Struthio camelus: one gene and its partners. The protein of the gene in region 1 purifies or fractionates together with the protein of each later gene. This does not show direct contact. Links are inferred from orthologs where the notes say so. Each region holds a gene or a part of one and is shown on either strand. Other genes may lie near its edges. The genes, in order: DNAJA2, LLGL1 and ENDOG.

The links.
Region 2: the proteins of DNAJA2 (region 1) and LLGL1 purify together in Homo sapiens (co-immunoprecipitation; 3 studies listed by BioGRID and IntAct, with this or other methods). This does not show direct contact. The link is inferred for Struthio camelus from reciprocal best matches to the Homo sapiens genes DNAJA2 and LLGL1.
Region 3: the proteins of DNAJA2 (region 1) and ENDOG purify together in Homo sapiens (affinity purification with mass spectrometry; 3 studies listed by BioGRID and IntAct, with this or other methods). This does not show direct contact. The link is inferred for Struthio camelus from reciprocal best matches to the Homo sapiens genes DNAJA2 and ENDOG.

What each region holds. Positions count from the first base shown.
Region 1 is NC_090951.1:15,431,845-15,439,761, reverse strand, and holds the start of DNAJA2 (dnaJ homolog subfamily A member 2), read left to right. Parts: upstream 1-4,907; 5' UTR 4,908-5,056; coding exon 5,057-5,134; intron 5,135-7,917. UniProt on the Homo sapiens protein: Co-chaperone of Hsc70. Stimulates ATP hydrolysis and the folding of unfolded proteins mediated by HSPA1A/B (in vitro).
Region 2 is NC_090956.1:3,659,966-3,666,953, reverse strand, and holds the start of LLGL1 (lethal(2) giant larvae protein homolog 1), read left to right. Parts: upstream 1-3,963; 5' UTR 3,964-4,079; coding exon 4,080-4,160; intron 4,161-6,988. UniProt on the Homo sapiens protein: Cortical cytoskeleton protein found in a complex involved in maintaining cell polarity and epithelial integrity. Involved in the regulation of mitotic spindle orientation, proliferation, differentiation and tissue organization of neuroepithelial cells.
Region 3 is NC_090961.1:7,200,185-7,208,187, forward strand, and holds ENDOG (endonuclease G, mitochondrial), read right to left. Parts: upstream 3,063-8,003; coding exon 2,553-3,062; intron 2,080-2,552; coding exon 1,970-2,079; intron 1,170-1,969; coding exon 884-1,169; 3' UTR 427-883; downstream 1-426. Other genes in the region: TBC1D13 (TBC1 domain family member 13), read right to left, coding at 7,590-7,655. UniProt on the Homo sapiens protein: Endonuclease that preferentially catalyzes the cleavage of double-stranded 5-hydroxymethylcytosine (5hmC)-modified DNA.

The DNA of each region.
Region 1 (7,917 bases):
TTAAGTATTCACACTTTGTTCCCTTGGCTGGTTAACTATGTGCTATTTCTCTCTCACTGGATAACCTAAGCATTAAAAATAGTTATTTTCCAACTGAAAACTACCCACAAGTATTCAAGAACGTTTAATGAATCTATTTACAAGGTAATAAAAAAGTTTCAAAACAAATACTTCTTCGTTTCAAAGTTAATGCTTTGACTCCTTATCCAAACTAATTTTCACAACACCTTTGCTTACTACTAACATTTATATACCGTATTTGTATCAAGTCCCTATCGCAGTAAGCTCTGCATACCATAAAAATTCCCCCCAAAGTATACAGGTTTAGCACGTGATGAGAAACACCAGACAAAAAAACCCAAACAAATAGGACAGATAACAAAGCTGTCAAATAACAACAAAATTATGCTTAGACTAATAAGCTGGAATTTTAGCACATTAAATGCTTACCCAGTGTTAAGACATAGGTAAGAATAAACAGCACGTTCCCAATTTGTATGAAGAATTTGCATAGTACAATGGTTACAAATAAATTAATGATCTGGGTTGCAAATAACAGCTACCCAAAAGGAGGGGAAAGAAGGAAATTTTGTGTGTGTGTACGTGTGTGTACACATAATGCATATATTCTGCTGTATTCAACCAGCTCTTACTACAGAATATAATAACAATCCTTCTGAGCGTTCTCCAGAGCTTAGAAAAAAAAGCTTTTCATCTTGCTACAGGACCATAACAAACAGCTTGGTGATCCAACTCAGCACTTTGTAACGTTAGCTCAGAAACTGTATGACAAACTGTAGCTTTGAAACTCTCAACCTACCTTGCTCTGCACCACAGAGGCAGCTAGCTGACCAAGAGTTTATTGGGAAGAAAAAAAAAAAAAAAAAGAGTTAAAGTTGCTGAATTTTCTTTGAAGATGTTCTGATTTCCCCTCTCCCCCCCATCCTCAAAAAGACAACCTATCCATAGCCCTGGAAACTGTTAAGAGAGACTTCTGTGTGATGAACAATTAGCAGGAAACTCAAAGAATCCCTTCTCCCATGTTACTAATGTGACTTCTGTTGGGAGCTCTGTGACCTTTGGCAGCAGAGTCTGCAAGCAGGCAGAAACATTTACATTAGGAGAAACTCCTTGAGTTACAAAACAAACAAAATCACCTGAAAATCCAAACAGTACCTATAACACTTCATTTGCAAGAAAGATTTGTTATGTACCCTTCAGATAGAAGAACATAGTAGAGCCCAACTGCCTGAATAACTTCGCTTTTAAAAACATGGAATGCCATAAGCCCTTCCTCGTGCTAATTTGGAAGGAAGATCCCTCAATCTCTCCCCAGTAACAGATTGACACAGTATACAGCCTTTTGAGCTTGCTACAATACTAACTGCTTATGCTCCCCTATTTGCTGATGTGCACATCCACTTTGGAGCAGAAAACTGTATAGCACTTACATATTTATCTATAAAAATAAAAAAGAACAAAACCTCAGTTAGAAGTATATATTTACTATTGATTTACTATTGATTTTCTATCAGCTATTTAGCGATGTTCTATTACAGTTGCACGCAAATGACAGGGCCACAAACTCTGCATTGGCCTGAGATTCAGCTAACTGAACGAAATGCAGAAAACTACCGTAAATAACATGACAAATCACAGTGTAAGACACCCATAGAAGTTACAGAGAGTGCTGTGAGAATGGCTGGATTTCACAGATGGTTAAAGGGGAGCTATGGTAGAAACGGCCAAATGTGACAGATAATTGGAGGGGACTACTAAGGACCTTTTAGGGAATTCGGTTACGCAAGGCGAACAGCACCAAGGAAACCAAACTAGTAATGCCATATTATGCTGAGATTATCTAGGTAACGATATCAAAAATACCAAGTCTAGGTTGGAATGTAGCAAAACTCAGACCAATGGGGAAAAAGTAATTAGGAGCGAGGTGTTTATCTGGAAGACGACTGGGGTGGCAAAATGGAAGCACACGGACAACAAAAAGGAGGGTCAGGAAAGGGAAAAAGGAATAATAAGGTACTCAAAGTAAATGATCAGTGCTACCTGGGGGCACTTGTCAAGCAGCCCTAAGTTTGATCTCTGCAATTGGAGCAGGACAACAAACCAAATCTTGTCCCATAAGGCTCAAGCCTGTTTCTGTGGGTCAGGAGGATCCGGGCAGGGGGCAGGCAGGATGTTTTTCCTGCACAGCAGTGAACCAGCTGGCTGGAGCAAGCCGGAGCTTGTGTAAGGCCAAAATAATACCTTGAAGAGCTGAGAACTGTGCAGGCTACTAAAAAACAAAATAAACAAAAAAACCTCTTCATATAGCAACTGCCGTAGTTTAAACAGACCAGCTTTTCATCGTGATGTGTGAATATAAATAGCATTAGAAATTAAATGAAGTTTTCACAGGGAGGAGGAAAATAATACAGGAATAGAAAAAAAACATACAAACCAAAACAAAGGTAATAACATGTGCAAGTGTTAAGGGGGGGGGAAAGAGTGGGCATAACACATCACTTGAGCACCTAACATGTCCTGTCAGTATAACTCATGAATAGATGCTAAAAGGGGAACGTGGGAGAAAGAAATTCTCTACCTGGCTATTCATCTGTGCTTACGTTTAACAAAAATATAACCATTCAAGCTTCTGATTCTTTAGTTCCTCTTCAAAATAAATCTAAAAGTTCATCCCCGAGGGGTTTTCTCATTACTTATTCTATGTAGTTGCATTTGGACTACATAGCATATTGATATTTGGTAATGCAAGATATAAAATGGGACCATAGCAACAACGACATTTGAGTAAAGAAGAAGAGACATACAAAGATTGTTTCTAAACTGCCACATTAGTTTGGGCGCAAGCCAATACACCAAATTCACCGAGCATTCCCACTACCCATCTATTGGTTGGATCATGTTCTGGCCTGAGTTGCAAGTGAGCCACTCAGCTCACAGGACAAGTCAGTTTGGGCTGAATCACACTTAGTTAACTTTATCCCTGCAGGCATAGACATGACTAGCACCCCACTGCTTTGAGCCAGCTCACCTTGTCCGACATCTAGATATGTTTAAAATGCAAAAAACACAGGTGAATAGCATCCTATGGTATTTTAAATGCTTCTGATATCATTCCTTCTGATTCTGTCTAACTCCTAAGATTTTCAGTCTGATTTATAGGGCAAATAAGTCCTTCCGCACACACTCACAATTTTTCTTCACAGCAGACAACCCATCCCGACTGCCCTACTAATGAGAAAATCCTGTAGAAGAGAAATTCTTTTCTAGCAGCGCATCAATCTACAAGGCAATACAATGCAAACAAACCAGGTAGGCATGCCAGACAGCTCCTAGAGTAGCTAGCAAGTCTGAATTCAGCCTTGCCAAAATAAAAGGTGGATCCAAACAGTGCAAGGCACAAGTCAATGAAACTATAGCACAAATGTTAAACCATGCAGTTACCAGAGGCAGCACAGACAGCCTCCAAAAACACTAGAGACGCACCTCTTAAGTTTTTTTTTCTTTCTTTCTATATGCCTGTGACCGCAAGTAATAAATACAGTCTATGCGACTGTCTTCCCAATGGCTTTTCTCTCACTGCCACTTTTTTTCTCCCTCCAAAGCTCATCTTTGTCTCCCTTTGAGGTTCTTGACTGCTGACACACCTGCAATACCAGAGGCATGATCTACCAAACCTGATTATGCCAGACTTAATAAGAACAATAATGAAATTCAGGGCTTGCTAAGCACCAGTTAGGGAAGGAGCTGAGAAATCACCAGCAAGCTGCATTCCCTAATACAGCCACAAACTGCAACAGGAGACTAAGGCCACTTCTACTAGCCTTCCTTCAGGTGACAAGGAAGGACGCATTCAGATCGGCTCCCCGAGAGCAAGGAGCCTATTCAGATTTCAACACCTCAAGTCCATGAATCTCTTCCAGGCCGGCTCGCTAACCCACTGCCAGCAGGCTCTCCCCACACCTCGCTCACCTCCTCCTCAGCAGGGCCCTCTCCCAGTGCACCTGGGGCTCACCCACCACAGCCCAGCAAGGCATTTTTGCCTCCCTCTCCCTCTCCCCCCCCCCATCACAGGGGCCCACCTGCCCACCCAACCAACCGCCACCTGCAGCGGCTTCTAGAGCCTTCCGCCACTGAGCTGGGGCCGAGGGGCCACACCTGAGGAGCTGCTCCCCTCACGGGGCCGCGAGAGGCAAACCTCCGATTAAACACAACCAGGCTTTTCGCTTGCGCGCTGAAAGCTGCCTCTAGCTAGGGCCTCAAGTCCTCTGCGCAGTTGGTGTACGCTTTGCTCTAATGACTCAGGATAGGCCTGGTGCTTTTCCAAGATTGCAGAAACAGAGCAAAAACAAACAAAAAGGTGCAGATGGGTAACACTATTTATATCCACCAAAGCCTTAGCAACGTGTCCCTGAAGAAAAATATATCGGTCCTTGCGGTTAGAGGTCAGGTTGGCCCACCAGCACCCCATAAACTTCAGGGACATATTTCAAGAGCAAGAAATCACACCGGGCGAGCGGCCCCAGGGAAGGAGGCACACACGAGCGCTGGAGCGTCAGGCTTCAAAACGACACGGGAATGTTGCTCTACTTTAAAACACTCGCTTCTCTCTCGGCGACGCCGGGTCAGACCTCAAGACGGCGGGGGGGGTGAGGGGGGGGGGAAGGTTCCCGCTCTGCCGACAGGAGGCGGCGCGTCTCCGCTGCTGCGCGCGCGCCCCCCGCCCCGCTCCCGCCTCAGCGTCCCCGCGCCGGTTACGGGCGGCGGTTACGGGCGGGGGCGGGGGCGCGAGCCCCCCTTCCCCCCTTCCCCCCCCCCCGGCCGCGCGGGCGCCCCCTGCCGCGCCCCGCCGGAACTGGGTCAGGCCGCCGAAGCGGGGCCGAGGGGGCGGGGCGGGGCCGCGGGTGGAAGGGGCGGGCGCGCTGTGCGCGCGTCGCGGCGTGGTGACGTGACGCGGGGCGTCTGTGCGTCCTGTTCCCGGTCTCGCCCTCGCCGCCCCTCGGCCTGCTCCGGCCCGAGCCGCCCGCCCGCCGCCGCCATGGCGAACGTGGCCGACACCAAGCTGTACGATATCCTGGGCGTGCCGCCCGGGGCCTCCGACAACGAGCTGAAGAAGGTGCGGGGAGGGGGCGGCGGGCAGCGCCCGCCGAGACCGGCGGCGGTGTGGGGGAGGGGCGGGCGCGAGGCCGCGAGGCGGCACCGCCGCCGCCGCGGGGGGGGAGGGGTGGCCCGGCCCGGCCCGGCCCGGCCCGGCCCGGTGTCGGTGAGGGCCCCGGCGAGCGCGGCCCGCCTGCGGCGGCGCGGCTGAGGCCTGCGGCGGGGGAAGGCGCCCGGTGCTGCCTGAGCCGCCGGGCTAGGCCGCGCCGCGGGGCCGCTGGGGCCTGGCGTGCTGGTGGAGCGGGGTAGGCCGCGGGCAGGCCCCCAGGAGAGGGGGGCCGGCGTCAGGGCCCAGCCTTCCCCCCCCGCCCCGGTGCCCCGGCCCGGTGTCGCCAGGGCTCCCCGTTGCCTGTAGGCCCCACCGGGAGACCCCGCGCCTCTCGCCCCCGCAGCCCCGTCTCCCTTCGCCGCCCCGGAGCCATGTTCGCAAGCGGCAGAAGGCTTTTCGGGTGGAAAATCCTAGTGAGGAACCAGTAGATTCTGACTTGGGGCCATTGTTTGAGGCACTTACAAGCCTCGTTAAGGTTCTACTTTGCTCGCTCATTTAGTTCCTTTTAGGCTGAAAGCACTAAGGTAAGACAAAGAAATGAGGTAAAAACTGTAAGCCTGGTTGTCAGTGTAATAATTTATTGCATCCCTTTCACTTCATTCTCTAATATATAAACCACGTTTTCCGAAGGGACGTTGTTATCCTTTTTCACTTGTAAATGGTGGTTAACTAGGCAGTTTACTAGCAGTGACCTGCTTCTGCTGATGGGTGGTGCTGCTATTAACAATTATGTTTTACCCATCATGCATGTGGTAGCCTAATTTGTTCAGGGATAGGCAATCGCAGTGTTGAAATAGTGTTAGAGGTGGTAAGCATGCGGTAAGAAGATACTGCTGTATGTTATTGAATATAATCGAGCAGTGTTTTATTTAACTGAAGTCTGTTAAAAATATCTTGTTTCTTGTAAGAATGAAGAAATGGCAGCAATTGTTTTCTTCCACTGAAGTAACCTGTGCTGCTCAGTATTACTTACATACCAAGGTTAAGTTTAAGGTATTGCAATAGCAAACTTTCCAACTACCTGCAGCAGTGAGAAGTTCAACCGTATCTTACTGTCACTGAGAAATTGTTTGGACGTTGTCTTAACGTCTTAATCGTAACGTCTTAATCTGGTATTTTAATCTGTACAAAAGTATAGAAAAGAGAAAATAAAATAGGTGGAAGATAATAGAAGCTACAGTACAGTGCCAGTATAGATCTTGATTCTGGATCTGTTTCTGGTTAACTGATAATGGTAGCTCAGTGTTAGGCCATGGCCGGTCTTAGGGTTGCTCTAAACTGTTATGCTCCTTAACAAAGACATGAGCTCTCTCCCTTTTTAAAGATTACTAGGCAAACTTCTTTGTACCTGATTTGATAATGTTATAAGAATAGGCTTTTTTCCCCCTCTTGATTAAAAGCCTTAAAATATGCAAAGAAAATCCATTTTTGTTACAGAATACACATGCTTATGTAAGGTTATGTGTTCTTACTGCTAGTAAGACTTGATTTTGTTCTTTACTCTTCTTTGAGTATTTTAGAATATTAGGCTTATAGTATCGATGTTCTATTTTTATTTCATTAGTTGCTTTTTATCGTTGACCTTTTTCCTTGAATCTGTGCACAAGCACTGGGTGTTTCAAGATACATCAGTAAAGAGGAGTGACTGTCAAAAATATTAAAAAAAAAAAAAAGTAATTTTACCTGTTCCAGAACATAATGGGAAGTTGTGATCTCTATGAAGCCCTTTTTGTAAAGCTCCCCTAAAGCTGTGGTTTTTAAAGAGCTAATTTAAGTGTTCGATTAAGCAAGAAAAGAGCTGCTTAAAAAATCCACTGTAAGAACTGGAATGTTTCAGTTTGCAGTCACATTTGTAGGTCGTTGTAGCTAACATGCTTTTGATATGTGCGGTGCAAAAATCAAGGTTTTTTTTTTAATGTTATGTGATTAACTTACTAATATCTATCCTCTGGTTGTTATTGGGGGATGCTGGAGTGGAGTGGGGGGAGAGTTTAGCACTTTACCCTCAAAAACGCCAGAGGAAAAGCTTTTGACTGTCCATCATAACTAACATAAAAGTATCTTCAGTTGCATTTACTTCAGTCCTCCAAATTGGAAGGAGAATAGGTGAAGTACCGCTGTAGGAAAAAAATGATGATGCTGGGAGTTGCAAAGTACCGGTCAAAAAAACATCTTGAAAACTCTCTTTTGGGGATTTGGCTGTATTTATTCCTCCGGCTGCTTTAGAACAATGGAATTGCATCAAATGGACCGGTCTGTGTATTTCTGCATGTGTAACACACATACTTAGTTTAGAGTGAGATGAAATTTTCCTTTATTGATAGGTAAGGAAGAATAAATTGATTATTTATGGGGATCAACTGATAGGGTTGGTTGAGAAGCTATGGCAGCCATTTTGTTGTTAATATATTGCTGAAATTGAGGTGAGGCACAAATGGGTTGAAACTTAGATTGTCTTATTATAGGTTTTGGGTGATTTACATAGTTAAGTAATTTTAATGATATAGTGCGTATTCCAATATATTTTTTCACCTAAGTTAATGAAGAGAAGCAGGAAGATTAATTCTAGCTATTGTGTGGTATAGTTGTGTTTAAATCCAAGAGTGTGTTGTTTGTGCATACAGTAGAATCAGGTATTTCAAATAAAACTTAGATGTATGAGTGATTTCAAAACGCTCTTTTTCTCACTTTGT
Region 2 (6,988 bases), on another chromosome or scaffold:
TATCTTGAGAAGACTCAGCGTTCAAATAAAAGCTCTCGAGTTGGTTGTGTGGGCTTGACGGGTCCATTGCCAGAGAAGGAAGGGCTGTTTGCCGCTGTAGAGGGGTGAGCTGGCCGAGGGAGTGGCTTTTAGATTCGAGTCTGTAAGCAGATGACTGCTTTGCTGAGGTTGCCAGATGCCTGGAGACAGCTTCCACTTAACTTTGTCTAGGTAGATTGCATGTAACAGGAAAATCCCGGTTGCCGCATCTGGCTCTCCACACCTGCTGTACTCTAATCCAGCTGTTAGTGAAATAAGAGTTGTGACACACATGAGCTGTAATCCAAAGGCTTGGTTCCCCTCGGGAGGGTTGTTCATTTGCCAGGCTGTGAACTCGCTCCGCGGGGTGAGCCGTTCGGGTGGCTGCGCTGAACAAACAGCGACCCAGGCACGAGCTGACTTCGCTCCTCCTGCGAAGCGTCGGCCCGGCTCCCAGGCTGGGGCCAGAGTTGGCGTTAAGGCTGTTAGTACGTGCTGTGCATAGTGCTCGCTGGAGGGGGTCCGAGCCCAAACCCACAGGTCTAAACGGCTGCGACGCTTTGAGGATGGTTCAGAGCCGGGCCTGAATGTAGAGGTTTGGACCCACCTCTAGCGGCAAATAGTCTTTTATATGCCAAATGCAGTTCCCTTTTCAAGTTGGGAGGAGGAATGTTAGGCCGAGAAGTGCACGTCTGCTCCTTCCCGCTCCCCTGTCCACACTTACAAGTTCTGGCTGACTTTAGTTTTGTTTTTTAAAGATTCTAATTTTTTTGGTTACAAATAAAAAAGAAAGTGGCAATATTTTTTTCTGTAAGCTTTTCCTAGGAAAAAGCGTGGTTTGTAACAAAGTTGTACAGTTCTGAAGTTTGAGATACAAGAAGTACTGTGTGAAACGCTGTAAATGGGGCAGAGATTATTTTATGTACAGTCTGATGTGGGGGGAATCTTTTAATTCTGGTTGATTCTTAGGAAGAATTTGGTTCTTCACTGTCAGGGTTTGGAATTTCATGGTTTCATTTTTTTTTTTTTCTTGTATAGATTGCTGCATTAATAAAAGCAGAAAGCATCACTTGCCTGCCTGCGTGGTGGTGCCTGGCTCGCCCCCAGGACCGGTGTCTTTCCTCTCCCCGGCCGCCTCGGCCCCTGGCTTAGGTAACGCCCGGCTCTGAGCGTCGCGGAGCCCGGCGCTCAGATCTGTGCCTCCCTTCCCCAGCGGCAGAAAAGAGGTTGCGGCGCAGAGAAATGGTTCTAAATAAAGGGAGTCTCTAGCTCCTTGGGGACGGGGGGCATTTAAATACAAAGTCTCCTCGACTTCTCTTGCACTGCCCTAGAAACTGGGGACAAAGCTGTGGCAGGCGCTCGCGTCCCCTCCTGTCCCCGTCTTCCCCTGCCTGCTGTCAGTACCGACAGCGGCAGGGAGCAAAAGTCAAAGCTGTCCCCGTTCTCTCAGCCCCGTCCGGCTCGAAGCCTGACTTGGCTTCGCTCCCTCCTGCCACGGCTTGGAGCCGGTGCGGAGGCGGGAGCGGAGCGCTGCAGCCCGCTGGGGTGAGAGCAGAGCCTGGTGGGATCCCCTGTGCCCAGGGTCCCCCCGCAGCAGCCTCCGCCGGGACCCCGGCTCGGTGGCCTGGGGTGGTGAGCGCTGGCCGGCCGGCTCCTGGCCACGTAACCCACGTCCGGGATGCTTGCAGGCCGCCCAGCCTCCTCGCCGGGAAGGCTCGGCGGGGTCTGCCGAGCCGTCCCGGCAGCGGGCTGGGATTCCCCCTCCTTCGCGTGCCGCGTTAGCCGCGACCGGTGGGTCACCCCGCCGGGAGGCACGGGTGCGGGCTCCTCGGCGGGCCGGGCTGCTGCGGCCCTGCGCTTCGGCCTGGCCGCGCGGCCCCTCGCCCGCCCTGCCCTGCTCCTTCCTCCCGCAAGAGGGAGATGGCAGCGCGGCGGGCGGCCGCGCAGCGCCGGGGAGGGGAAGGCATGGACGGGGCCTGCGGCGCGGCATTGCATCCCGGCGCTGCGCTGCAGCGAGGAGGGGAAAACGAGGCAGGAGGCCGTGCCGGCGCTGGGCAGGCTGCGCTGGCTTGGCACCCGGGGCGCCGTGCGTGGCTGGGGGACGGTCCCCGGCCTCGCGGGGCCAGGGCGGCCGCCTGCGTGTCGTCGTCACCACGTCGGGCGCAACGTCACCCCGTCGGCTGCAACGGCTCCGTCCTTAACCGAGCGTTTCTGAACCGAGGCGCGAGGCGGCCTGTTCCCGGGAGCGCCCTCGAACAAAGACGCCTTTGTGGAAGGAAACGGCCTCCCCGGAGCGGCGGATGTCCGGGAGCGCCCTGCCACGGGGCACGGCACCTCGCTCCCGAGCCCTCGCCGGCGCCGCGAGGGCCTTGACGGGGGCACGGCGCAGCCCCGGCCTCGGCGGCTGTCCAGCGCCAGCCCCCTTAGCGCCATCACCGCTCGCCCCAGCCTCGGCCCCGGGTTCTCCAGGGAAGCGATGGGCAAAGAACCCCCCCCCCAGATGCATCGCCACGGGGGGTCTCGGGCGCTGGCCCGTGCGGCCCCGGGACAGCGTTAGTCAGCAGGGAGGGGAGGCCGGCCCGGCCCAGCCCTGCCCGGCTGATGTTGCGCCGGGTGACGGCGCTCGCCTGACTCACCCCCGTGCGCCGTGGCGCTGGGCAGGGTGACACCTCCCACGGGGCCGCCTCGCCCTCCGCCGCTCCCCGCGTCCCCCTCCGCTTCGCCCCCTGCTCCCCCCTGCTGAGGCCGGCTCGCCCCCCGCCGCCCCCGGGGGCGATGCCAGCGCAGGACGGAGCCGGCAGGCATCCCCGCGCGCCTCGCCGCCGGCTCCTGCTTCTCGACCCACCCTCCCCGCCCCGGCTCCGAGCCCGGCTGCTTCTCATTATTTCATTTCCGCTGAAACATAAAGCCTTCTTCCAGCTCGATGGGCCCGATGCGGCCGTGTCCCGGCAGGTCCCCAGCCCCCTGGGCGGGGGGAAGCGAGCAGAGGGTGCCCCGCGCCATGGGGCAGCAAGCCGGCCAGGGCAGCGGGCACCCATCCGGCATTTCGGGGACGGGGAGGACAGCCGCTGGGGGCGAATCCAGCTGCGAGCGCCCCGGCTGGCCCCCGCCGCGGGAGCCGGGAAGCAGCGCCCGGGGCGGCGGGGGGCATTTGCCAGCCCAGCGGCGGCGCGGAGACAATCGGCCGCCGGCCGGTGACGGCTCCCGAATACTAATACGGCGGGCGGCGAGGCGGCCCCAAGGGGCCCGCGGTGGCTCCCGCTGCTCCCCCGAGCGGCGCTGGGCTCAGCGTGGGGTGGGAGGGGGAAACATGCCCAACACAGGGGCTGGCGGGATCCGCCCTGTCCCCCTCGGTCCCCACGCAGGCCCCGGGTGGCCCGCGAGGCCCGGAGGCCATGATGTCCCGTGGCCGCCATGGGCCCCCAGGCCGGGCCGGGCCTTGGGCCCTTCCCTGGCAGCCGGGAGGCCAAGGCCCCGGGTGGCGATTCATGGCAGCCGGCGTGGCGTGAGCCCAGCGTGGCCACAAGACCGCTGCGGCCCTTAATATTATTAATTGTGTTAATTAGTGACTAGTGTTGCGGGCGGCAACGACGACTGTTCGCGGTGCTGCACGCCTCGGTGGGTGAAATGGCGGTGGGGGGAGGGGGGGCTTGTCCTGCCGGGCTGCGGCCGCCTCACCCCGGGGCTCTGCGGAAAGAGGGAGAGAGAAAGAAAGGAAGAAAAGAAGGGGGGGGGGGGGGGAAAAGCTTCCCAGGGAGGGCGGCGGGCCAGGGGCGGGAACTACAACTCCCATCAACCCCCTCTCGCGGGCGGGCGGGCGCATGCGCGGCGCGGGCGGGCGCCGATTGGCGGTGCGGGCTGCCCGTCACGGCGCGGGGGCGCTTGGCCCCGCCCCGCCCCGCCGCGGCGGTGCCTGCCCGGGCTCGGCGCGCGGCGCTCGGGGCTCGGCGCGCGCTAGGGCGGGGGGCGGGGGGAGCGCCCGCTGTCGCCGCCGCCGCCGCCGCCGCCGTTTGGCCCCGCCCGGTACCCGTAGCCGCGCCGCCGCCGCCACCGGCCCCACCATGATGAAGTTTCGGTTCCGGCGGCAGGGCACCGACCCGCACCGCGACCGCCTCCGGCACGACCTCTTCGCCTTCAGCAAGGTGCGGCAGCGGGACCGGGACCCCCACCCCGCGGGGGTGCCGGGCACGGGAGGCGCCCCCCGAGGTTGCAGGGACACGGGCCCTACCGGGGGTGCCCGTACCCCGCCCCGCGCCCCCGGGGGTGCAGCTGTGGCACGCCCCGGGCGGGCTGCAACTCCTGGGGGCGAGCAATGCACGGGACCCCCCCCTCCCGCTCCGGGAGGTCGATGCGGGGCCCCCCGGGGCAGGATGCACCCCCGGGGGTGGGGGGAGCATTGCACGGGGGGCAGTGTGTGTGGGACCCCCCCCCCCCGGGGCAGGGTGCCCCCCTGGGGGCTGTAGGGAGCGGGGATCGGGGAGCCCCCGAGGTGCAGCCTATGGGACTGCCATGGGGCAGGATGTGACCCCGGGGGGGGGGGGGCTCGTACGGGGACCCCCGAGGTGCAGATGCACCTGGGAGGGGGTGTGGGGGGGTCCCCTGTGGCAGGCTGCCCTCCCTCAGGAGTGGGGGGTCCCCCAGGGCAGGCTGCGCCCCCCCAACCTTGAGGGACACCCCTATTTCCCCCCCTTTTTAGCTCTGGGGTGGGGGGGTCCCTTGCATCCCCTTTGGGGCTGTGCTGGAGCGGCGAGGTGTCCCCCTCCCCGGCTCCTTCTCCCCTCAGCTCCCCCCCCAAGACTCTGGGTGCCCGGGACCGGCGGCGCGGGCAGAGCCGGGACGCGGCTCGGCGCTCCGGCCGGCCCGGCGGCACGAAACCCCGCCGCGGGAGAGCTCTACGACTTCCCTCGCGGAGGGCTCCGCGTGCCTCCGGGATGCCGCGGCCACAATAGCCAGCCGAAAGCGCGCGCGGGGGGCAGAGCCCCGCTCCGGCGCCTGGGACGTGCCCCCCACCCCGCTTCGTCCGCGGAACAGGCCGCCCCGACGCGGAAACGGGCTCCGGCTCCGAGCCGCCGTCGCGAAGGGGCCGCGGGGCTGGCGGGGGCCGGTCGCTCCCCGAAGCCGCCTCCGCGGGGTGGGGATCAAAGGCCCAAAGTTTCCCCGGTGCCTGAGCCGGGCGCTCTCCCCCTTGAAGGGCAGAGCTGCGTCGCGGAGATTTACAGCTTTTTTTTCCCCTGTGCTCCTGTCTCTTTATTGTGCAGCCTTAACGAGCCTGCTGGGCTCTTAAAATTAACCTTTTCAGGGGCTGCGGCGGGGAAGCCGCCCCGAGATCGGCGGCGGGAGCAGCACGTCCACCCGCGGTCCCCGGGCTCCCGGCCGCCACGGGATGTTTTGTGGCCTTGGGAAGCCACAGCTGGCCCCGTGCGGCCGCCGTGCCGGGCTCCGTGCCGGGCTCCGTGCAGCCCCGTTTTGCTGGGAAGCAGCTCGTAGGTGCGGCCGGCTCTCGGGAGACTGCACGCCCAGGTCCCATCCCGAGAGCTGTCTCCGAAGGCACCCGGGCCGCTGCCAAGGCAGAGCGGGCTGCAGCTGCCCGCCCAGGGCTGGGAGGACGTTTCCCGACCTCCCCTGCCCTCCGCTCGCTCTGGGTTTCCTTCTCCGTCTCGTGGATCCCTGCGGGGCGCCTCGTCTCTCCTCTTGCCCGGCCGGCGCGCCGGGAATCGCCGCCTCCTTCCAGCTCGCGAGCTCTGCAGAGAGCCGAGGCTCAGCTGCGTGGCCCGACGCCGGGGGCACCCGCTGCCGTCTGCTCTCCCTGGGCTCCCCAGACCGGGTTTGGTGCCCCCGAGCCCGCTAACTGCCCCCTGCCTGGGATGTCAGCTGGTGACGTCTGCTCTGGCGCTGGTGGTCCCCGATTGGGGCAGGGCCACGCGGTCGCAGCGGGGCTCCCGTCTTGGCGTTGCGCCGGAGGGGACACGGGGCTCTGATCTTTCCTCCTCTTTTCCCCGCTGGCATACGGGATGTACAGGAACTGGGACTGTGTAATCTGCTCCTCTAGACATGATGAGGATTTAGTCTCCCATTAATGAGCTCTGCGTGAAGCTCCTGAGCTGAGAGAATAGACCCCCTGGAGCTAACTCGGTTTGATAGGATTGGCATACAGGCCCGTTAGTCGCAGGACGCGGCCTAAATATCTCCGGCAGCTGGCGGAGGGCTGCAGGAAGAGCCTCCCGAGCCTTCGTTTGCTGGCTGCATCTCTTGGCCCCTGCGCGGCTTTGCAGCTCATCTGCTGTTTGTGCGGGATGGGCTGAGCATTAGCCGTGGCCTGCTGCCCCTCGGCCAGCTCTAGGGACAGATGCCCGGCTCTGGCTTGCTGCATCTCCATCCTGAGCCCACTGCGGTGCTGGGACAGGGCTCTCCTTGCATCGGATGACCCTGAGGTGTAGGAAAACAGCGGGAGCGGCCCCCAGCTGAGCAGAGACCAAACAGCGTGTCCTTCAGCAGCGGGAGTAGATAGCTGCGTTGTTTGCCTAGCCCAGCCGATGGGCTGGGCGCTTGCAGCTCACCGAAAAGTACAGGGTGATGGGGACCCCCGTGCGTGCAGGAGGAGCCCCCTCGTTCGCACCCTGTCCTCGGGCAGCGTGGCCAGGGCGGGCTGCAGCCGATGGACGTGGCGTGGTCCGGGCTCTGCCGTACGGGCTGTGCAGGACGGGTACGGCATGCGTGGTCCCAAGGGAGCCACCGGCAGAGCTCGAACCAAAGCCTGGGGCTCCCGTTCAGTTCTGTGGATCCGTCTCGAGCGAGCCGCGTGCTGGAAGAGGGCCGGCGGGCTGTGCCGGCAGGATTGTGCAGTGGGGTCCTGCTCGGGCGCGAGCCCTGGGCTGCCTGGGAGGTCTGTGCTCGGAGGGGCTCTTCCTGCGGGTGTTGGAGACAAGAGTCTCCAGGCCGCAGCGGAAACAGCCAGGGAGCAGCTCCGTGC
Region 3 (8,003 bases), on another chromosome or scaffold:
TAGTATCAAAACTCACCTGCTTCAAAGGCTCTGTGCAAGTATCTTGATACAGAGGACGAGCACCCAGTCTGCAGCAATCCTGCACTCACAGCGCCGCTGGAGCCTTGTGGGCTTCAGGCCTTAAGAGTCTTAAGTCAGCATAAGGAAACCTGTTCCTGTTCCAGAGTTAGCCTGATGTCCCCAGCCTCCCTTTTAACTCACAGGCTTCCTCCCTCCAACAGCAGGAAGGGCTGGAGGTTCAGTTGGGCCTCAGAGCTAAAGTACATCAGTGCATCTTGTAACAGTTTGCTCTAACTATGAGGTCTTAAACTCTACTTACAGTTGAGATCAAACAAGAAAACAGCTGGAGAAGCTGGCTCTGTCCTCCCCCTTACTCTTTAGACACGCAGGGCTTTGGTAAGAGCAGGTAAGAAACAGTCAATACCCTGAGTTTTCAAAGCTTTACTGCTAAAACCATCTTCTGAAATAAAACAGTGTATGATCCTTTGGCCACAGAAAGGCAAGGGTTTCCCCCATCTCCCCTGTACCGATTTTGCACCTATCGTTCCCTGCCAAATATCTGAAATTAAACAACTTCCCTTTGTGTCTTACTGAGCCACACACCTCAACGTTTTACAGAGGTATCCTTGGTACTGCAGTTTAGGGGCAAATCCTGGAGATGCTACGATGGTGTCAAGGGCTCAAGAGCCTCCTGTAGGGCCTGCCCCAGAGACTGGCCTCGCACATCCATTTCAATATTGCATGAAACTGGAGGAAGGGCAGAGAGAAGCACTGATTTGACTCTTAATTTTGCACATTTAAAATTGCACAAGGAAATATGTTTCTGCTAACTACTGCTGTCACAGTCCCTGCCAGAGGATGCCTTGATTTGTTTAGTCAGGGTTCAACGCTTGTTCCCAGCTGTGATGGCTTTTAAATTATTTGTCCTCTTCAAGATGTTAGGGACAAATAGGAGCCCTGAGGCCCGCTCAATGCTCTCAATGGGAACCAAGAATCGTTCAAGGGGGATGTTCTCATCCACAGGGCTGTTGGGCATCACGTAGGAGCGCAGCTCAATCTCTCCACTCTCCTTCTCCAGGATGAGCACCTTGAAGAAATGGGTTGGGACAGCCACATTGTTCTTCCCAATCACCTGGTATTTGACGTACATCTTCCCATCTGCCTCCATCCTGCACCAACAGCAATGACCTGTTACTGTCACCTCCTGGCCTGGTTCCACATCTACCCTCTCAGCCCCCCCAATCACCACCCTTAAGTGAGTCCCCCTCCCAACATGGCAGAGGGCACCCCTGCATCTCCAGTAGGGATGTAAACACGTTGTTGAAGCAGAGGCTATGGAATTGGTGAGGTTGAGCAACGTATCGGATCTGCTCCTCCAAATCCCTTCTCCGTTGCCTCAATTAACGGCCTTCCCAAGCTGTTTGCTGCTCCTGAAGAGATCTCAACTTGTGGAAACTGCTCTTCACAGTGCTATGAATGATCCTTGCAAATAAAGTTATGCTCTCAAGAGGAAAACTAGACTACGAAATAAAACCTAGAAGCTTTATACTACAGCAAAGGGCTAATGCCTCTGCAGGCTAATGTGCAGTCTAATACCGCTTTATTGATTACTAAAGACTGCAAATAAAAGCCTTACATTGTATCTCAAGAAAGCAGTACTAGAAGAGATACCACAGTTCAATTACGGCAGCTAGACAAGAGCCACAGAGCTGAATTCTGCCTGGGAGAGGTCCCACTACCTACTCCTGAAATAACCTACTACATTGGAAATAAGCAAACTGATCCCACCCCTAAGAAAGTACCTGTCCACAGGCCCTCTGCACACAGCTGGACTCGCTTACTGAACTGGGTCTGAGCACATCACTTCTGTTGGGGGGCACGCTCAGGAAACTGCAAACCCTCGGCCTTGTTTCATTCTGTGGCATGATGCACCTCTTGAGCGCGGTCCCAATACGGCCTGCATATTTACCTGGGCAGGAAAAGAGGACCCGTGCAGACGTACACGTTCTTGTTCTTCCTAGCCAAACTTCTGCAGTACTTCTCCAGGTTATTCCAGGCGTTCTGGTTTAAATGGGGAACCTAGCAACACAAGCAGGACATCGCAGACAGGCAGGTCAGTCACCAGGGGATTTCCTCATTGTTCCAAGTTTTCTTAATAACAACACACAATTTTTGCATTACATCTCTCAGCAGTGCCCTGAGCACTTTACAGAAGAGGCCAGGACCGTCATCTCCACTCTGGGAGCTGTGTAAGGAGAGGTCCTAGTTTGCACCCCAGGACCAGCCCCACAGATTTCAGGCCCTCATTTTTGTGAGCAGCTCTCTCTCTGAGTATTTAACTTTAATCCTGCAACGTGCCGTGCTGAAGTAAACCAGGGTCTTTCTAATGGCGAGAGAGGTGTGCAGGCAGGTGCGTCTGCAGGATCAGCGTCTCAGCTTAGCACAAAACACAGCACCCCCGAGTGAACTCAGTCACTTTAGTCCCCCTTTGTCTGAACTGCTACGGAGCCAAACACACGGACAAGGTACAGCCAGGGACGGCGGGGCCCTACCTGCGGGGCGACGTTGCTCAGGTAGAAGGTGTCCCGCATGGCCTTCTGGCTCCACTTGTGGTTGGCGGCGGCGGCCAGGTGGCCGCGGTCGAAGCCGCTGCCGCGGTAGTCGGCGTTGGTGGCGCGGTGGTACTCGTGCACCGAGTCGTCCTCCTGGAAGTCGCAGGCGGCGCGGTCGGAGGCGCCGCTGAGCGTGTCGCGGTTGAGCTGCTCGATGACCCAGAGCGCGCTGCGGCTCCGCGGGTCGTAGCACAGCACGTAGGACTCGCGGCTCCGCACCTGCGCCAGCCCCGGCAGCCCGTACTTGGCGAGCTCGGCGCGGCCCGAGCCGGCCGGCTGCGGCGGCGGCGGCCCGGCGGCGGCCGCCAGCGCGGGCACCACGGGCAGGCGGCCCAGCAGCCCCGTGCCGCCGCCGGCCTCGCCGCGCTGCCCCCGCGCCGTGAGGGCCGCGCCCAGCCCGGCGCCCAGGGCCAGCGAGGCCCCGGGCAGCAGCCAGCGGCCCCGCGCCATGGCCGCCCCGGCGCGACGCGACTCAGGACGGGCGGGCCGAGGCCGGGGTCCGCGCAGGCGCAGGAGCAGCCTGGGCCCACCGCCGAGCATCGCCCCTTTAAGGGCTGGAGGGCGCCTGGCCGCCCGGCGGCTCCCGGACGGAAACATCTCCCACGCCCGTGTGCAAAGAAACCATTTTATTAGGACAAATCAGAAAACAGCGTTAAACGAGCCCACGGGTCACGTGACTGAAGCTCATCGGAGCAGTTACAAACATAAAGAGCAGAGGAAGTTAATAAACCAGCACAGGCCGCTCGTTCCCTCCTGCAGCCGGAGGCTCAACGCTCGCCCCAGCCCGAGCGCCCGCCACCGGCCGCCCTCAGCAGCTAGGGCGGGCCCCCCTGCCAGCAGGGCCCCCTCCCAGCCCAGCTCTCGCCCTCCCTTCGCATCGGAGCTGCCGCAGGCCGCGCCAGGGCTCTGCGCTGGTCTCCCGCCCCGTCAGAGGATTCACAGTTGCGCCGTTACCTTTGCGTTATTCCTTGAGAAAAGCCAACGCTCCCCCAACGCTTCCCGGTCCCAGCCTGCGCTGCGGCTCTGCAGGACGAGGCAGAGGCGGGCTCAGCGAGGGCGAGCAAAACATGACACCCGTGCCAAAGAAGAGGTGGCAGTGGAAAGAGAGGAGCTCGTGCGTGCAAACCTGTAAGGTACTGCAGGGCTCTCACCTGCCGCAGCGTGCTTCTGCTGACGGCCAACTAGTGCAAGGTCTCTTGGTTCCTCCCAGTCACTATCGACGAGGGCACTGAGAAATACTGTAGTTATCACGAGTAGCAGCATTAACTCCAAGCTCAACAAGGTGAGTCACATCACCAAGAGGAGATATTTGCACAAAGCCACCGGTTTAGCTAAAGGAAGCTTTTCCAAAAAAAAAAAATATATAATATATATATATATATATATATAGTGTTTAAAAAGAAGGCTAAAAGAAGGAGTTTGAGTGATGAAATGTTCTCTATACCATGTTCTGACACAGTTATTTCCAGCCAACATAAAAAGTGTTACTTTGAAAAAACACCAGATTTGATGCTCTCTTTTTCTGGGAAAGGGCATTTTAGGCTAAAAGGTGCAAGGCTAAAACAAAATCACTGATACTCATTGATGGAATATAGCCTCTGTTTTCCCAAATACCCCAGGCTCCCCTAAAGCAGCTTATGACCTTCATTCCACTCACTGCCAAACTGTGAGTAATTCTCCATTACGTCACAAAATTCAAACTCAAAATCCATGTTCTGAGCGATCACAACTAACTACTTCATTTCTCTTTTCCCGTTTCTTCTACCTTATCGTCAGAGCTACAAAATTTCCAGAGGCTTGAATTACAGCAAGGTGAAAGAAGGGTGGAGCAGATCTTTTCCTCATAAGGACGGACCATCTCTCCCCCCACCCAGCATAGTTTTCTATTTTTCCTCCCAGGAAAGGGTCCCCCTTCCCCTGGCTGGCAGTAGTCCTGCCTGTGCAGAATGCTTAGTAAGAGCTCTTTACGCTTCCCTTATTTAGGGCCCTATAAAGCAAGGGGTCCTCAAGACGCTGGGAAACGCTGCTGCAGCCACTCTTGTCTCATCCCTGATCTGCTACAGGAGCCGCAAGTCAGAGGTGGAATGGTCTCAAGCGTGGAGCAGCTGCTACTTGGCCACTCAAGCAAGGAACCACCCCCGGCTAGTTAATACTGTCCGACCTCACAAACCACTAACAGCCTTGAGGAATGAAGCCAAGGTAACCCCTCAGGAGAATCAAAAGCTTTTCTCCCCTCAGAAAATGCACTTTTGCCCTTAAGGAAAGGTACAAGTCTTGGAATAAAGAAATGGAAGTTCCAAACCATTGAAAAGTAGAGTCATTCCTTTCAAAGTCCTTTTCAGTAGCAGAACAGAAGTCCTATCGCACAGGAGGAGATCAGGAGGGACACAAAAGAGCTTTTCATGTAGGAACTGGCCTGACTGGGCATATCAAAGTTAGAAGCTTTCCCCAAAGAGCTCAATGAAATCAAGCAGTTCAGCAGCCACAGGCCTGTCTGGCTGAGGCTACTTATCCTAGAGGGCCTTTCCAACAAGCAAAGCTCCCTCCTCACTGCAGACTCCCTTTAAAAGCATTCGCCATCACCCCCTAAAGATGAACAGGAGGGCATACTATAGACCTTCAAACCCAGGAATGGAAAAGGCTGCGTGCTGCCTGTAGCCAGACTGCTACTCGAGTAACCACCTCCCTGCTATCTTCCCTCAAGTGTTTGTAATGCTAGAGTCCGACACCTGAGTCGGAGCTGGGGCAACTCCACTGCAGTGCAAGTCAACCTCAGGGCCTAAATGCCACTCTGAGAACAAATAGAAGTTCATCTGAAAGTAGTTTTAATCCTGACTGACCTGCTGCCTCTTCAGGTTATTTAAAGGAGACTTCTAGACATTCAGAGGAGGAACCTTTATGGATGCTCCTGTTAGCAGTGAAAAACCACAGCACTTACTAGGGGGACCTGAACTGGAAGCCCAGGTATTCAGGGAGGTGAGAGCCAAACTTGTGCGTGGAATGTAAGAGAGCAACAATATTTACAGCAGTTCGGAGGCAGAAGCATTTTGTAGGAGGTCCAATTCTTGGGGGAAAAAATCTACCCTCCAGAAAGGACAACAGCACAGAGGGATACCGTTAGCCACAGGTATTAGCTACAGATTGTTTAAATCTTTAGTTGCTCATGCTCCACCACAGGAGCAACACCTGGCTGCACCTGTGTCACTAGAGCATCTTCCGAAGAGTCAGAGAAAAACTGCTTGGGAACAAGAACATAAGAACGTGTTTCAAGCTGTCCTCTGATCTCCTCACTCATCCTTGTGAAAACTACAGCAGGCTGTAAAGAACTGGCCTTAGGTGAAGGAAATAACACTAGTACAAAAGCTGAAGGCTGACAACATCCCTCTTGCTAGGGGCATTTTATGCCATCAGCAGCGTAAGCAGATCTTAGAAAGTACAAGACTGACCTTTAACAAATCAGTACCCATAAATACAGAAAAATGCAGTGTCAAACAGCTATGCAGAGGTGAGCTAGCACAGCACAGAAAGAGAGAGTAAAGCATGCTGGATTAGTGTTCACTCAAGAGCTTCTGCACAGTCAGAGCACTTGGGTGCTCTCCCTATGAAGGGGATTATGGTTTCTGATCAATCTGACATTCCTGCGGGTTAACATTTCTCCCTGTATCTTGTCGTAGTCAATGTTCACCTAAGCCTGCTCCACTGTATTTGAAATGCAACAGTTTCCCTCTCAAGAGGGACAAACATCCACTTCAGGACAGTCACTCCAATAGGACTGGTACACAGAGAAGTGGACCATCATCCCCAGGACTCAGCTAGTGACTGAAATGCTTGTGACCCCACCGGATTACACCAGAAAAAGACATGGTACAGGTCTGACCTAAAAGCAAAAGCCTCTTTCTGGCAAGTACTGTTAGACAATTTCAAGGTTACTGTGACCACAGCTTAGGCAGGGCAATATTATGCAAGTCACTGAGGCAGAAAACCCCAGCCTCCTGCCAGTATAAGCCCCTAAATACAGCTGTCTTCACAGCGTGTGACTAGAGGCCCATTTCTTGTGTTTCAGAATCCTGATTGTAGCTGGATATCCTCCAGTTCAGAGCTGGGAAAGCAGTATTGCTGCTGCTGCTGCTCACAGACAGCTAGAGGTCTCAGCCTCCCTGCAGCGACAACCTCCTGCTCTAAGGCTGTGCGTAATAAGGCTCGACTTAAATCAAACTACACTTCCCTCATTGATTAAAACCACCATAGTCTATCTTTCAAGGAGACCTCGTTGATAAGGCGATTCTGGATTCAGGCAACTTCAGTGCACAAAGCAGCCAGCTGTAACTGTGTCCAGCCATCTCAGCTTTTCAAGGTCTCTTTCCCATGCGATGGAGTCCAAACAGCTGGATGTTAGATGACACTCACCAGAAGCTGATGCAGCCTTCCTTTTTGCACATCCCGGTAATGGCTAAGTGCAGACACGAAGGAGAAGAATCCAGAAGCTACGTGAACGGCAGGATGCTTGACTTCAGTGGGATACATTCTATTTACAGGAGAAAGATCCTTCTACACTCACCCACCAACTTCACTGGATCCACCCTGTCCCTTCCTCATCAGAAGTTACTCCACGTGAGCATACTTCCATAATGCAGAAGGATTTCATCCCACAGGACTTGAGGGATATGCCGATAGATGGTTTCTTTCTCCTCAGACTTAAAGTCATTAAAAAAAGATACAAAGAACTGCTTTTGGCAGTACGGAGGCATTTGAGATTTGAAAAATATGGAGTGCAGGACCCAAGTAGATGGGGAAGTAATCAGTCCTTGACCTAATAAATAGAGTAGAAGGAAATCTTCAAGGTAGCTAGTTGCCAAAACACAAAACTTGAAGTCCTGCAGAGACCCCTAGGAGCTCTAATGCACCACACCGTACAGGGGCATCTCCTAGGATCCACTGACATGCAATTTCTCTGACACCTTTTGTCAGGCTCATGGATTATTTGGAATCCTGAAGTTCCTTTGCCTTCTTCAAAATCAGGTGAACATCAGAGATAGGATAATCCTGCGTCAAAGAAACAAAGTGATGTAAGTGCCCCCTTAGCATTCCTTGCGCACGTATCGTTCCATCCAAGCAGGGCAAACTTTGACAGTGGCATTCTTGGCCACACTGACTAACACCCCTAAGCTTGAAGTTAAATATTATTATCTTCAGTTACTCCTCTAACAGCTACTTGTTTCCTGGTTCATTTTGTAACTGATCAGCCCTGCATACCCTTCAAGAAGGTTTTTTATTTCTCCTCCAAGGGTATAGCTAAGCTGGCTTGATACAAGCACTATCTTCATGCCAGAAAGCCTTATCGAAGCCAGTACCTTGCACAGCCCAAAGGAGGAACTGGCAGAATCAGATATC